Linked DNA regions of Astyanax mexicanus. The protein of the gene in region 1 purifies or fractionates together with the protein of each later gene. This does not show direct contact. Links are inferred from orthologs where the notes say so. Each region holds a gene or a part of one and is shown in the gene's direction. Other genes may lie near its edges.

Region 1 (7,788 bases):
CGACGTACAGCCGAGGCAGCCGGCTCAGCAGGAGCCCCGGGGCGTTCAGACTGAGAGTGTGTTCAAACTGATCTCAGAACCAGTCGGATCAGCACAACAACAGCAGCAGCTACTGCAGAACTGTAAACACCCTGCTACTGAAACCCCACCCACTGACCCCACAGCGACCCCGAAACTCGTTAATGTACAATAATGATAATATATATATATTTATTATTTTTTTCTTTTGGAAATAATGTTTTAAAATATAGTCATCATAGCAGCATAATCACAACTGACATTTCCAAATCTGATTATTTCTTCCACAAATATGCAATATTTTTCAAATCATACATTTATGATTGCAACAGCACTACTGAAGTAATTTCATGCTTAGAACAGCACTATTGAGGTAAATGCATGATTAGAATACCATTCTAAGGTAAATTCATGATTAGGACAGCACTACTCAGGTAAATTCAGGATTAGAACAGCACTACTGAGGTAAATTTAGGATTATAATAACACAGTTGAGGAAAAAGTGTTTTGTTGGTATTTATGCCAGGATGTAAAAAAAATAAAAAATAAAAAATAAAAAAAAAAGAAAATAAAAACGTTGGTCAAACATTCAAGAATTTTGATTATTAAAACCTTTTCTAGTTCAATTTAAGCTTCTACCATTCCATTCTTTTTTAGTATAAACTCTAAATATGTTACCACTGGTACAGATTTATATCTTCATCCACTGATTTTAATGTGATTTCTATATGAATTGAAATGGTTACTCCTTATTGCATAACTCCAACCATCTCCATGTGCCTTCCATGTAGAGTGTGTGGTTATGTGTGTGAGTAACTGAGTAAGAGAGCTGAACCTGAGATGTTCCAGAGCGAGAGCTGTCTGGTCGAATTCTCCGGATTCATCATAAACCACATGGAGCTCCTGCAGCGGGACTTTATTCTGCTTGGCCTCCAGTAACGTCTTCACCGAGTCCTCAGTGAGGTCACAACCTCGATACTCGCACTGCAGGGGCTCCACTAGCTCCACCTTCCCCTTCAGCTCCTTATAGTCAACATCCACCACCTGCAGAACACATGAAGACATGCATGAGTGAGTCTGGTGTGAAAGAACTTGACTGGTCTGCACAGTCGAGTCCTGACTTCAACCTGATGGAACACCTCTGGGATGGATTAGAATAGAGACTGATAACCAGAGCTTCCCATCCAACATCAATGTCTGACTTCACGAATGTATTTGTGGAAGAATGAGAAAAAATTCCATAAACACACTCCTAAACCTGTGTAAAGCCTTTCCAGATGAGCTGAAGCTCTTATAGCTGTAAAGGTTGGGCTGAGATCATATTAAACCCTATGGATTAAGAAAAGGATGTCACTCAAGTTCATATAGCTTTAGAAAAAAATAAAAAGACCACTTCAGTTTCTAAATAGGTTTCTCTGATTTTGCTATTTATGTTTAAGTAAAATTAACATTGTTGTTTTATTCTATAAACTACAGACAACATTTCTCCTAAATTCCAAATAAAAATATTGTCATTTAGAGCATTTATTTGGAGAAAATAAGAAATGGCAAAAATAACAAACAAATTGCAGAGCTTTCAGACTTCAAATAATGCAAAGAAAACAATATTCATATACAATGTTCACATTCATAAAGTTTTAAATGTTTAGAAATCAATATTTGGTGGAATAACTCATGTTCTCCTCCACCAGTCTTACACTCTGCTTTTGGATAACTTTATGCTGCTTTACTCCTGGTGCAAAAATTCAAGCAGTTCAGTTTGGTGGTTTGATGGCTTGTGATCATCCATCTTCCTCTTGATTATATTCCAGAGGTTTTCAATTTGGTAAAATCAAAGAAACTAGTCATTTTGTGTAGGTGTGAAAAGGCAGACGAGCAAATACTCTTTGCACTCACTTCAACTAGAACATCAACCATGTCAGTGTGCCACAGCGCCTGCCAATCACATGGCTCCACCACCTTCTCCAGGTAATCCGCAGTGAACTCCTGCACCTCTGAAGGTTTACAGTCGCCTGCAGCAGACAGACAGAGACAGAGATGGGTGAGGAGAGGTTTCAGAGGTCTAATGGAGGTCAAACATTTATATTTTAGATATTTTATATACTTTATATATTATACCTCAGGGAATTTTAATATAATATTTTAAAAAGTATTATATATACTGTATTTATCCATTTGCTGATCTATTCAGTATAGAGATCAGCAGATGTGATTATGAACATAATAAACAGTGACACATCTACAGATGATGAGGTTAATATGCAGCGAGTTACCGAGCATGTAATCCTGATAGGCTTTGAATCTCTCGTAGAAAAGCAGATGGTTGGTTTGGAAGATGTGAGGCAGCCCCGCGCTCCCGAACGCCTCGGCCCGCTGTAAATGTGTGCACAGCTTTTCATCGTTAGACAGCCCATCTGTGCCGCTGTCATCTTCTTCATCGTCATCCTCGTCATCCTCCTCTTCATCGTGCTCGTCATCCTGAAACATCGCTACAGAGGAAAGAGTTCCCATCACTTACAGCGATATATCATCACTATACCTGCGTTTTACCCATAGAAATGTTCACTTTCTGAATGAAATTCTGCAGAATTTTTACTGTTATCCCGCTCTGTGCTTATGGAGACATTATTAAGGATGGATCAATTTGTCAACATAACTGGCCACATAAACAGTCATTTGTAACTGCACTTTGCTACACACAGTACCACAGTTAATGGTTTTATAGTTATGTTTTATTTTTAAGTTTTCATGGTCATAGTTATGTTCATGGCTCATACATGTTTTAACCAATACATTTTCATGATTTTTCAAGGGACATTTTCATGACCATATGATTTTTAAAACATCAGTGCAGACACAAAAACAAAATTGAAGATAGTAGGCCTAAAATGAATCTGATAAAAATGTTGACACTCAATCTTTAATAATAAAATGCGTGTCAGATCCTGAGAGCTCTACTCTATAAGGCTAAATTACTGAATTAACTCTGAGCTGATGTATTTGTAGCTCAAAATAGCTTTTCTCCTTCAATAAACTGAAACATAAAGGATTTGTGGACAAGGTTTTCAGGACTTTTCCAAAACGTTCTAGGTCTTTTTTATTTTTCCAAAACTAATCAATCCTTGGAAATTGCTATTTTTGAATTTCATGACTTTCCCAGGTTTATCATGACCGTATAAAGTGATTTAGTTAGCTAGATAGATAGTTAACTAAGTTAGTTAGTTAGTTAACTAGTGATTTAGTTAGATAGATAGTAACTAGTTAGTTAGTTAACTTGTCAGTTAACTAGTTACCTAGGTAACGTTAGTTAGTCAACTAGTTAGGTAGCTAGTTAGTTTGCTTGTTATTTAAATACTTATTTAGGTAACTTTAGTTAGTTAGTTTGCTAGGTTAGTTAGTTAGTTAGTTCATTAATTAAATAATAACTACTTATTTAGTTAGCTAGGTTAGTTAGTTAGTTAGTTAATTAATCAATCACTTAACGTTACTTATAAGTAAGCTAGCTAACGTTAGTTTGTTAACCTCGTTAGCTGGTAAGTTAGTGCTAGCTAAGTTGTTGTGTTAAACCGCTGGCTGTATCTCTAAGCTGTCTCACTGACACTTCGCTGTACTGCATTAGTTTCTTAGTAAATCAGTAAGTCGGTTCTGGTACCTCTGGGTAAGAGTCTGGGCGCCGGTTTTGGTTCAGGTTCTGGCTCTGGCTCTGGTTCTGGCTCTGGGTCGGTCTGGTCCGGTTGTTGCTGTTGATCATCCACCGGCCGCTGCTCTCCACCCTCAGATACACACACTCCACCGCCCTCAGCCTTCATCTCAAAAACACTCAACTACAATCTAAATACTACAAATAATCAACTAAATATATAAACACGCATATAAACCCGTAACTGTGTAAAAAGTGTGAATTTAAATTAAATAAAAATAACTAAATAACTGAACTCTCCTCACTGCTCGCTTCAAATCAGCTGCATTCAAATCCACCCTGCAAACGCGCGGACAAATAGAAAGTGGCGTCCGGTGACAGCGGACCAATAGAGAGCGGTTTCGCCCAAGAGGGGGCGGGGCTTTTGTAAAAGACGTGGATTTTATAGAAATAAAAAAAATAAAATTAGAAAATTATAAATAAAATTATTAATAAAAGATTGTTTTTGTCTATGTGTATTACCTTGCGATTTTTTTTATTTTTATTTGCTTTAAATATAGTGTAGTTTTGACATTTTTTGTCCAATTTTGCACCATAATTTGATGCAAACAACTTTTTACTAAATGATCTAGATCAGAATAAATAAAATATTTTCTTTGTTTATACATACCTATAATGTTACATAAAATACCTGAAACATATGCTTTTTTATTTTTAAAGGGGACAGACTTTAAAACTCAAAAACTGAAAAAAATGTTTTACTATACACACAAGTTTACACTTCAAAATGTATTAAATAAAAAGATGTTAAATCTCTAATTTGAAATAATTTTGTAGCTTTACGGAGTGGTAAGTATTTTTTATTATTATTATAAAAAGGTTTAATGCCGTTTATAACATTATAGGACATCTACACCTCAGAAAGTCTTTTGTAAAAAACATAAATACATTAGTATACAGAGGTCTAAATAAAAAATGATTTTTATTAACTATAAATTTAGACATTTTAGAAATAATTTTGAGTAATTTATAACATTTATAACCAAAATGTATTTTAAAAAAGGACATAAAACACATGTACTGTAGAAATGACTGAATCAGGGAAGCTGCGGTTGATTACTCAGGTCTCACGTACCGGACTTGGCGATCGGTGATCGGCTTTCAGCACTGGGGGAGCCGGTGTGGATCCAGCATGGCGGGTAAGTGTGGATTATTATTGTATTAATAACATTAATAACAGGTTTATTAAAGCGACGCGCGGTTGTTAGTGAGTGTTGTGTGTTGTAAACCGAGTCTTCCTGCTGAACTGAGTCTAAATAACCAATCCAGGGCTGTTGTTTCCCCAGATAACACTAAACGTTCCTCTAGCATTAGATTTAGGTTCTTTAAGGTTCGTTTTTGTTTTATTTTTTGTTAAAGTCACTGAACACTAAACTATATGTTTTTAACATAATAGCTGAAATGTGTTCCTTTGCCGGTCATTGCTGTTTTTTGTTCTTTTCTTGTTCACAGAAGCAGCGTTTTCCAGTATTCCTCCAGAAGATGGTAAACTTCTAGGAGTTCAGGTGAGAGTTCTTTTCAGGTTCTGACTGATTTGCTCTATTTACAGTAAACCAATAAGTCCAAGCTATTTGAACCGCTATTTATAGGTTTATGTTTGAGTAAAATGAACATTGTTGGACAACATTTCTCCCAAATTCCAAATAAAAATATTGTCATTTAGAGCATTTATTTGCAGAAAATGAGAAATGGTTGAAAAAAACAAAAAAAGATGCAGAGCTTTCTAATCTCAAATAATGCAAAGAAAACAAGTTCATATTCATAAAATTTTAAGAGATCAGTAATCAACATTTGGTGGAAAAACCCTGGGTTTAATCACAGTTTTCGTGCATCTATGCATGTTCTCCTCCACCAGTCTTACATACTGATTTTGGATAACTTTATGACACTCCTGGTGCAAAAATCTAATCAGTTCAGCTTGATTTGATTGCTTGTAATCATCCATCTTCCTCTTGATTATATTCCAGAGGTTTTCAATTTGGTAAAATCAAAGAAACTTATCATTTTTAAGTGGTGTCATATTTTTTCCAGAGCTGTATATAATAAAAAAACAATGTTGGCCTGTGTTGTGTTGTGTGTTCAGTCTCAGCCTGGCACGGCTGCGGAGAAGTTCACCAATGCGTTCCTGAAGAGCAGCCTGCCGCAGCTGAAGGGCGAGGAGATCGAGAGCATGATGCTCCGCCAGGCTGTGATCCTGCAGTACGCCAGACCCAACAGAACCCGGGGAAAGAAGACCAAAGCTAAAGGACTCAACGCTAAAGAACGGCGGGAGCTAAAAGTGTTCCAGCTGAAACCCGAGCATCAGAAGTGTGTACCACATCTCATCACAACATCACACCACATTCCTGCATCAGCAGTGCAGATTAATGCAAAAATCAGGACCCCTCACATGAAGTGACTTGGCTCCAGTCAGGGCTCCAGACTAACTTTATTCTCAACCGTCCCAGAACCATCTCAAACTGAAAATTATCTGTCCCATAACAATACAAAAACAAATACAATAGTAATGTGAAAAATTATATATATTTAGATGTTTATTCTATGTATCTATGTTTACATTTCTATTGTATTTGTGTATTTTACTACCATAATGTCATCAGTTGTTTGGACAGTCTGTTTGAGTTATATATATATTTGTGACTCCTTAATGTCAAGTTATTATATTATACAGAGACACAATTATATTTTATTTTCAGTTAGAAACTTTTTTTCAACTAGTGGAATTATACTTAGAATAAAATTAAAAACACAGTTCCTTACAATATGTCTGCTCATCTTAAAAGTGCAGTTTTGCCATTAGCCAGCAATTGACGCTTTTTCCCCTGATTCATTTTGCCCATTTTGAAGCTCCCAAGTTGACTGACATGGCAATACACCCACCACAATTAAGAAATGTATAGAACACAGTTCCTTAGGATATGTCTGCTTATCTTAAAAGTGCAGTTCTGCCATTAGCCAGCAATTTTGCCACTTTTGAAGCTCCCCAGTTGACTGACATGGCGATCCACCAACCACAATTATTTCTTTAGAGGCTTTCCCCGCTAGTGCCACATTGGCCTTCCTCCTCTTGTGGCTTTTCTAGCAAGCTGATTGTTCGTAAAAAAGAATATACTTTAACATGCTAAGCAATAGGAAAAGTCCCAGTCATACTTCAACCAGCAGGCAGTTTTCTCAAAAACGGCTTGAAACGGCTTTGTCGTCAGGACGCTGGGACTGTGTTAGTCTAGAGCCCTGTGAGTGTAAATAAGTCTCTCTGTAAGGAATTTTGACTCAAGAACACATGATGTTTCCAAACGTTTGCACTTTTAGACTGTATTTAACTAGAAATGTAATGGTTGGGATGTTCAAGAAGTCCCCACTGGTTGATTGCTATGTTGTTGCTAGGTAACTGCTGTAGAAAGGCTTGGTTGCTATGGTGTTCCAAGTGGTCGACAGGTGTTGTTGCAAATTGCTTTGCCATGTATAACTATATTAATAGACTAAAGTAAATATTATAACTATTTCCGGTTCTGATTCTGCAGGTATGAGCTGTTCCTGCCGCTACATGTGCTGTGGAAACAGTACATAATCGATCTGTGTAACGGACTCAAACCTGGCAGGTGATAAATATCAATATATATTTATATATGATAGTTTAAATTCTGATACTGTAAGTCTGGCTCTAATTCCTGCAGTGTTTAATCTGTAACATCTACCACAGCAACCCACAGACCATCCAGCAGAAGCTCCTGAAGGCTGATTTCCACGGTGCAGTTTTAACAGGTTAGTGGACGCTCCTCAACTCTACACTCTACAGCTCTCTCAGATTCTGATCAAATATCATCAATATATACGGGAGGATTACCCAACATTTATTTGTGTTTCATTATTTTGTCTTGCAGTGGTCCGATCAAAATGTCCATCTTATGTTGGGACCACTGGAATCCTGGTGCAGGAGCTGAAGCACGTCTTTAAGATCATCACCAAAGAAGACAGACTGAAAAGTAAGACAATACTCCAGTGCTGTGGTCTTCCAGATCCACAATGTCCCAGTCCAAAAAAAATATGTTTCTCTAGTCCTACATTCCCAG
Region 2 (7,392 bases), on another chromosome or scaffold:
CAGTCCTAGTAAATTAATGATAACAGTGATATCTCAAACTACAGTTCAGTGATAATAAATATGTCGCAAAACTATTCTCCACACTTCACAGCGACTATGCTACTGAGAAAAAAAACTTCTAACTAAGTAAATAGCAGGTGTCAGTTTCACACAATTTAAATACTAATGTTCTTCACCACATGTTTACCCTGTTCATTTGATTGAGCAGTAACTGTAGTATGTCAAATTTGGGGTTGAGTTGAGAGCATTTATACATACATATACTCAAAATTATTGATTTGCTTTTTGTCACACTTCAGACTTGTGTTTGGTAATGGCAAAAGGGAAAAGAAATTCAAGCAAAAGTTTTATAATTCAAAAGGTATCACCTATCTGTAGACTTTGCTTGCTATCCAACTTGATTCTATCAATAATGGAACTGTGACACAAAAGGTCACTGGACAAATAACTTTCAATCATTTTTTTACTTAAAATGTAAAAACTGAACATAAAGCTTTTTGTTTGATGCTGTTTTGCTCGAGTGGAGATTTTGCCTCGAGTGTAGAAAGAGGTGGTTTTGGGGGCGGAGTCAGGATCACCTCCCTCAGCGAATGCTATTGGCTGATATCTCCAGGCTTTGTTACTGTCTGCCTACTACCGGCAGCCTTCAGAAACAAACACAGCAGGAGAGTTAAGAGAGCTATGCTGAAACCCAAACTTTGTATTTATCTAAATAATAATACTAATAATCCGAGTTACACATACAATATATATTATTAGGCTAAGCCGATCCTGGCACTGTTAACACAGCATCAGCGTCCTCCAATCTATGGGGCTGTTAGCCCGGATTCAGGGCCTGAAATGAGCCGATCTCCAGGGCTTGTATCGCGGCTTCAGTGCCTGAACCAAGTCGATCTCCGGGGCTTGTGGAAAAGAGGCTTCAGTACCTGGAACGAGCTGATCTCCGGGGCTTGTATTGTGGCTTCAGTGCCTGAAACGAGCTTGTGTAGCTAGCGGACTCTACAGCGCCCCCTAATTTGATTGGTAAAGAAATCAGCTGTGGTTGTGTAAAAAATGTTCTAATCTTCCCAATTTTTGGTAGAAATGTAGACACTAAGACCCTGCACAAATTTGTTTGTATTAGATCCGCCCAACAGGAAATTTGTTTAAACATTTTTCAAGAACTCATTTAAACTACTCCTAAAGTCTTCATCAGATAATGATGAAAATGCTTGAATTGCCACAGTCAATAAGACCTCAACATTACTTTCACCGGTTTCTCGGTTTGGCCCGGTACGATTTGCGCTGTTGTGTGAGGGCCCTTTATCCCTTCGTGACAGGGGGGCCCCTCAATACTATTATTATTTAGATAAATCCAAAGCTTAGCTTTTAGCATAGCTAGCTAACTCTCCTGCTGTCTATGTTTTTAAAAAAGTGGCAAAACTATGTTGCATCTGGGGGCAAAAAGAGCCGGCTCTTCGTGAGCAAACTCCTCTTGGATTACGAGAAAGAACCGGAATTTGCGTGAGCAAAGCCTTTTTTATTTTACGCTCTATATTTTTTTAAGCGAACTTATTTAGTCAGATAGTTATTTTTTTATAAAGTAAATGCAGTTACAATTTCTAGCATTGTAAGCACTTGCTCAAAAGTTCCAGCACTTTCCAGGCCTGGAAAACAGAACGTTAAAATTCAAGCACCCATACAAACCCTGAATATTTTTATAATGGAAGCCCAATGTCTGTTCTGAATAATGAAAAGTTCGTTTCACTGTAAAATAGTGTAATAGTATTATTATGCTAGTATATAATTACTGTGGCACATTGTCTTAAAGCACCTTTAGGAGCCCAAAGCAGGAAAAAGCATTTTCTATAGTGGCGCTTTAAAAGGACAATATTATCGTTTATCGCAATCATTTCTGAGACAATACATTGCCCTAAAAATGTTGTTATCGTGACAGGCCTAGATCAACGATATGTTATCTAAAAAATATTACAAGTAATTTTGGAGCATTTCTATTGGTCTCCTCATCATATGACATTGGCATTCAATACATTGGTTTCTGCTTTCTTTAATTCAAGTCTGTATTTTCAGTACATCTTAACCTAACTGACGTACAGTATTACCAAACTAAGGACAAGCTTATATTTCCTGATACTGTGAATTCCTCCCCTGTACCTTTTTTCATGTTTCTCTGGTCATAGGGCATCGCCATATCTTGACCTGGATGCAAAAAAAAAAGTTTAAGTTAAAAAAAGATGTTTTATTTATTAGTTATATGTTTTAAAGTAATATTCCAACTTCTTATTTAACTTCAAATGATATATCAGGCTTTTTTAACAATTTCTTTTTTCACATTATTCTGGACTTTCAAAATATCATGAACATATAAATATTTCATGTGTGAAAAGGTAAAAAAAAAAAAAATGGGGCACACAGTCAATGGGCTATGCCTGTGAGGAAAGAACTCCAGTATTTTACTTAGTTCCACTTTGGCTGTACATATACTTCCTTTTTTAATATGTTTGATTTTATTGTGTTGTATTGTTTTAGCACCTGGACTGCTTTAGAGATAAAAAAAAATCTAAAGTAATATTTTATTTTTATTGTAATGTATTGTAATTTGCAGTGGTAGACAGTAGCAGAGTAAAATATATATACTTTACTGTTTTTCATATCTGCAATTTTTACTTTTTACTTTAACTCACAACATTTCAAACTCAAATATTTAGATTTTTACTCCAATACATTATGGAGAAAAAAAAAAGTTTTACTTGCATCCAATGTTTTGTGATATTTTATGGTCACTTTAAAAGTACATCACAATAAAATAAGTCTAATTAATGAGTCTTTCTAAAAAGATTAATAATGTCAACCAAGGGTATTACTGGAGTCTTTTAATATAAAATGACCTGATTCTGATCCAAAAGCGATAAAAGCACATTAAAGCCATTAAATCCGGGTACTTTTACTAATAGTGCTTTTGTGATATTTTATGATAATTTTAACAGCAATCACTGCAATTAGACTAATAAATAAAATCCTATGAAAAGATTAAAAATTGTGAAACAAGTGTATGGCTGGAGTCTTTCTATCTAAAATGAGTTGATTAATCAGATTGAGGGTTCAGTTCTAAAAAAAGAATTTATAAGATATTGGAGCCATAATAAATCATGGTGTTTAGTGCTTTTGTAAGCACATTTTAAGGAAAATAACATGTGTGTACTTTTACTTTAATGTAGGCATAGAGAGGTCTTTTCCTTTTACTAGAGTAACGTCTGCAGTACTTTAGCAGTTGTTTGAACATATAGCTAGCTTTCTACTTCTGTTTGAGTCATTTCTGGGCCAAAACAACTCTTTGATTTTGATGTGGTTTAGCTGGTTTAATCTGCTGTGTCTTCCTCGGACTGACCCTGAAAGCTCAGCACTGCTCATCTAGTTAATACCCTGTAAAAAAAAACAGCATTTACAGCAGAATATCAGCAAATAAACCACCAGAACAAAGCACGTACCTTCGGAGGAACCCCTCTGACTTTCAGTTCGACCATTAAAGTGTGTGAAACCGGTGGAAGCGGGTGTTTTTGGCGTAGTTTACAGCAGCGCTGAACGAAAAGTGAAAGAAAGAAGAGTTGAGGAGGAAGTGAAGTCGAGATGTGGAGGCTCCCGCTGATCCCAGCCTTCAGGCCTCAGAGTCCAGGCTAAGATAACTTAGCACAGCTAGCCTAGCCCGGGTCAGCTAGTTAACTAATCAGCGTCGTACATAAAAACAGTGGGAAAAAATACTAATGCACCAGATGATTTATAGAATAAGTCAACAAAAACAAAATTGTACAGTTCACCTGGGTTCCAGCACCCACGGGTATTTAGGGGAATGAGGAAGCAGATGAGTTTGCAAAAGAAGCACTGAAATCAGAGCAAGTAGAAGTTAAAGGTTTTACTGAGCAAATCAGAATTAAAAAAAGTAATAAAAGACGGTGTTCATAAAATCTGGCAAAACAAATGGGATACGGAGGAGAACAGCAGGAATTTATATAGTATACAACAAGAGGTAAAAGGAAAATCCATTCACTCACGACAGGAGGAAACCTGATCAACCAGCCTAAGAATAGGGCTTACAGCACTAAATAGTGGTTTACACATTAAAGGAAAACATGACACCGGAATATGTTCATACTGTAATGAAACTGAAACCGTAATTTACGTACTGCTTACATGTAGGCAGTACTCTAACGGAGAGAACGTCTTGAGACGGTAACAAAGAACTCAATTGAAAAAACTTATTAGGTCAAGGTGGTACAGAGCATACTGTATATATTTTTGTAATCCCAATGTAATCAAACATCAGACCAGTAGATGGCGGTAATGCACTAAGATTGCAAGCTGCCAAAAATCAACCACGAAGAAGAAATCCGCTCTTGAAAACATTAGAAGCTACAGGAGTCACATGGCGATAAGGACGTGCTGCGTGAGACTGTCTTTAGTCGGTAAATAGCTGTATTTAGTATTGTAATATTCGTACATTTAAAAGTGCACTACGGTTAGTTTTGAATGAGTCTCTTCAGTGGAGTTTCCAAAGGATGTAAGTTTTACTGGATAGCAACATTAGCCTAGCTAACTAACTTAGATATGTTCTTACTTAACCTACACCTGTTATATAGTTAGCTGTTAGTTATCTAGCTAGCCAGATATAACTCAATTACTCTAGCTATCTGTTTCAAGTCATAATAACCTATCGAATGTATATACTGATGATAGATAGGGGTTGGGTTTGTTGGTTTAATTTGGAGAACTGGCCCTGTCCGTTATTAGATGCACTTGATTGCGTCTACATATGGTTTATTATTAGAGGTGGCTAACCCGGATCCAGAAAGTAAAAATCCATCCCTGGGTTTCATACTTTTTAAACTTTTAAACTTTTACTTTCTGGACCCGGGTTTACCACCTTTACTTTTTATAATGCAGTGTTTGAGTCAGTGGACTTAAAGTCTCTCTAATTGATGCTCTGTTCAAATATTTGTAATATTGTATATGGTAAGCATTTAATAAAAGTGTACAAATCATAACAGAAAATACGTTAAGATTCTGAGTATATGCTGAGTAGGGCTGTGCAAAAATCAGAATTTCAGAATTCAATTTAATTCAGTGAATGATTAAATGAATGAATGAATGAATGAATGAATCTACCTACCCACCCATCCATTTCTCAGTGCCTCATTTTAAATATCCGTGCTCTCAGAATTCTACCAGTGAAGTGTGGAGCTACTTTGAGCTTCTTAAGAGTGTAAAATTAACTATTTCTTTACATGGGCAGCACTAAGCCCTTATAACTAGCATTGTAAGCCTGTAGAAAGCATACATTCTCTTAATGTTGAATACTTTCAAAATTAAGATATTGCTAAATTAGTCACATACAACAATGTTACAATTTATTAAAGTAATTTAAAGGGTAATGCTATTGCATCTTATGGTCAACAGTTCCTCAAATAGCCTTAATGTTTGGACAATGGTTAAAGACAATGGTTAAAAAAAGGAAAAAAACAATATTCTGGGAAATTAAGTGCTGTCCTATCATTTTCCACAGTTTGAAAGTTGGTACAGTTTTAATAATTTGTGTTATAGAGGGTTTTTATTGTTTTGTGCTCATACCATAATATCTGTGTGAAATTAATATACACCTTAATTTTGCATTATACATTAATTTGAATTTCGTGTAATTCTAATTCTACATCCTGCAGTTCGAATTTGAAGTAGCTGGTTCCTGTTTGCAATCTCAATTCCAATTGAATAATTTAATTTGAATTTGGGTGTCATTCTTCATTTTATTTTTTAATATTGTACAACCCTGGTGTTGAGTTAACATGTTGTGGGACAAAAAAAAAAAATAATCTTAAATGTCTTTATGCCATTTTTCATTTTTATTATTGATTAAGCAAATACACAATTTATACGTAGTATAGGTGTGCAATAAGACAATAAGTTTTGACTACTGCCATTGCTTAAATTCAGAACAACTGCAACTGTTAAATTACAAAGAGAGTAATTAGTCCTGTATTTAATTGACTTAGAGTACAGCAGATTTAAATAAATTCAGAATATTGTGTATTGTGAACAAATGTCTTTCCGTATTAGGAAATATATTTTTTTTGTTTTGTTTTTTTCAACCATTTTTTACCATATCGTCATATTTTACCATTCAGAATTCAGTTTTAACACAAAATTATTTTTCGCTCTCAATGTTTGTTTCCTGTTCTAACAGCATTCAGATATTATGGAGAAGAAACCTACACCTTATGAGCGTGTTGTGTGCAAAAACACCTCTCTGTATCATTATATGAAGATCAACTTGTAAGTAAACTCCTTTCTAAAAAAAAAAAGAAAAAAAAAATATATATATATATACTATGAATAATAGACAGCCCTATTTTTTTTGTATGCATAAACAGAGTTTTTGACAGTAGAAACAAAAGTCTGAGTGCAGAACAGTTCAAGCAGTTGATCATCACTGGACTGAAAGACCTGTATGGGGAGGTAGGGATAAAATACTGACCTATGTTATGAGACCTCCACATTATAATTAAGTTAGTGTCGGAGTTGTGTAGATTGTGGTTGTGTAGAAATATGTTGTAATGTGTTACAGGTTGGAGCTGCGTTCCCTTTTGACGTGCTGACGTTCAACCAGACTGAGCTGTCTGCCATTCTTCGTGTGTACCACAGGTATTTAATCCATGCAAAAGCTTAGTTTTGCTTTTAATAAACACTTATTTACCAATTTGTCATTCGTTCTTTATTACAGCGCACCACGTTGACTTTATCTCCCCTCAAACATAAAAGTATATTCTAGTAATTTAATTGACACCACTAAAATAAATATAATTGCATTACAAAAACTTGCATTTTAAGAAAACAAGTGTGATTAATCACAGTTAATTACAGAATAGTGTTGTGATTAATCATGTTAAATTTTTAATAAATTGACACCACTAGTCAAAACGCTTAAAATTATAAAGGTGTCTGAGTGCTGGGGAGCATAGTGCAGAACAGTGTTCACACAGAGATTCACTATTAGAGCTGTAAAGAGTTACCGACTCATACTGACACATGGATGGTTATGGGTTTAAGGCAATGTGTCATAAAGGCTAGTGTAAGTGTACCATCAATTTTTTTACCATATATAGTAGAAATAATGCATGTTCTCAAACCTGAACAGACTGTTATGACTTTGAGTCAGTTTCCAATAAACAGATTAATCCTAGGTTTTGACTGTAGTATCAGTGGTGATTAGGCATTGAAAAGCCTATTAAGTGTAGGATTAAGCTCTGAATCTGGGTCCCGATCCCAAAGTTAAATGGACCACATTTTTTGGTTGTTTTCTAGTGCAACCCTGGTCCTAGAGATGTATCTCTGTCTCTCTCTCTC

The links. Proteins that work in one complex are often made in the same cells at the same time.
Region 2: the proteins of pop4 (region 1) and rpp14 purify together in Homo sapiens (affinity purification with mass spectrometry; 3 studies listed by BioGRID and IntAct, counting the BioPlex papers as one, with this or other methods). This does not show direct contact. The link is inferred for Astyanax mexicanus from reciprocal best matches to the Homo sapiens genes POP4 and RPP14.

What each region holds. Positions count from the first base shown.
Region 1 is NC_064430.1:24,491,443-24,499,230, forward strand, and holds the start of pop4 (ribonuclease P protein subunit p29), read left to right. Parts: upstream 1-4,763; 5' UTR 4,764-4,850; coding exon 4,851-4,857; intron 4,858-5,170; coding exon 5,171-5,223; intron 5,224-5,801; coding exon 5,802-6,025; intron 6,026-7,239; coding exon 7,240-7,317; intron 7,318-7,418; coding exon 7,419-7,480; intron 7,481-7,599; coding exon 7,600-7,701; intron 7,702-7,788. Other genes in the region: shcbp1 (SHC SH2 domain-binding protein 1), read right to left, coding at 854-1,062, 1,915-2,030, 2,292-2,507, 3,671-3,827. UniProt on the Homo sapiens protein: Component of ribonuclease P, a ribonucleoprotein complex that generates mature tRNA molecules by cleaving their 5'-ends.
Region 2 is NC_064431.1:12,208,654-12,216,045, forward strand, and holds the start of rpp14 (ribonuclease P protein subunit p14), read left to right. Parts: upstream 1-4,356; 5' UTR 4,357-4,460; exon of another isoform or gene 4,461-4,555; intron 4,556-6,232; 5' UTR 6,233-6,244; coding exon 6,245-6,321; intron 6,322-6,419; coding exon 6,420-6,504; intron 6,505-6,613; coding exon 6,614-6,690; intron 6,691-7,392. Other genes in the region: rbck1 (ranBP-type and C3HC4-type zinc finger-containing protein 1), read right to left, coding at 2,155-2,191. UniProt on the Homo sapiens protein: Component of ribonuclease P, a ribonucleoprotein complex that generates mature tRNA molecules by cleaving their 5'-ends.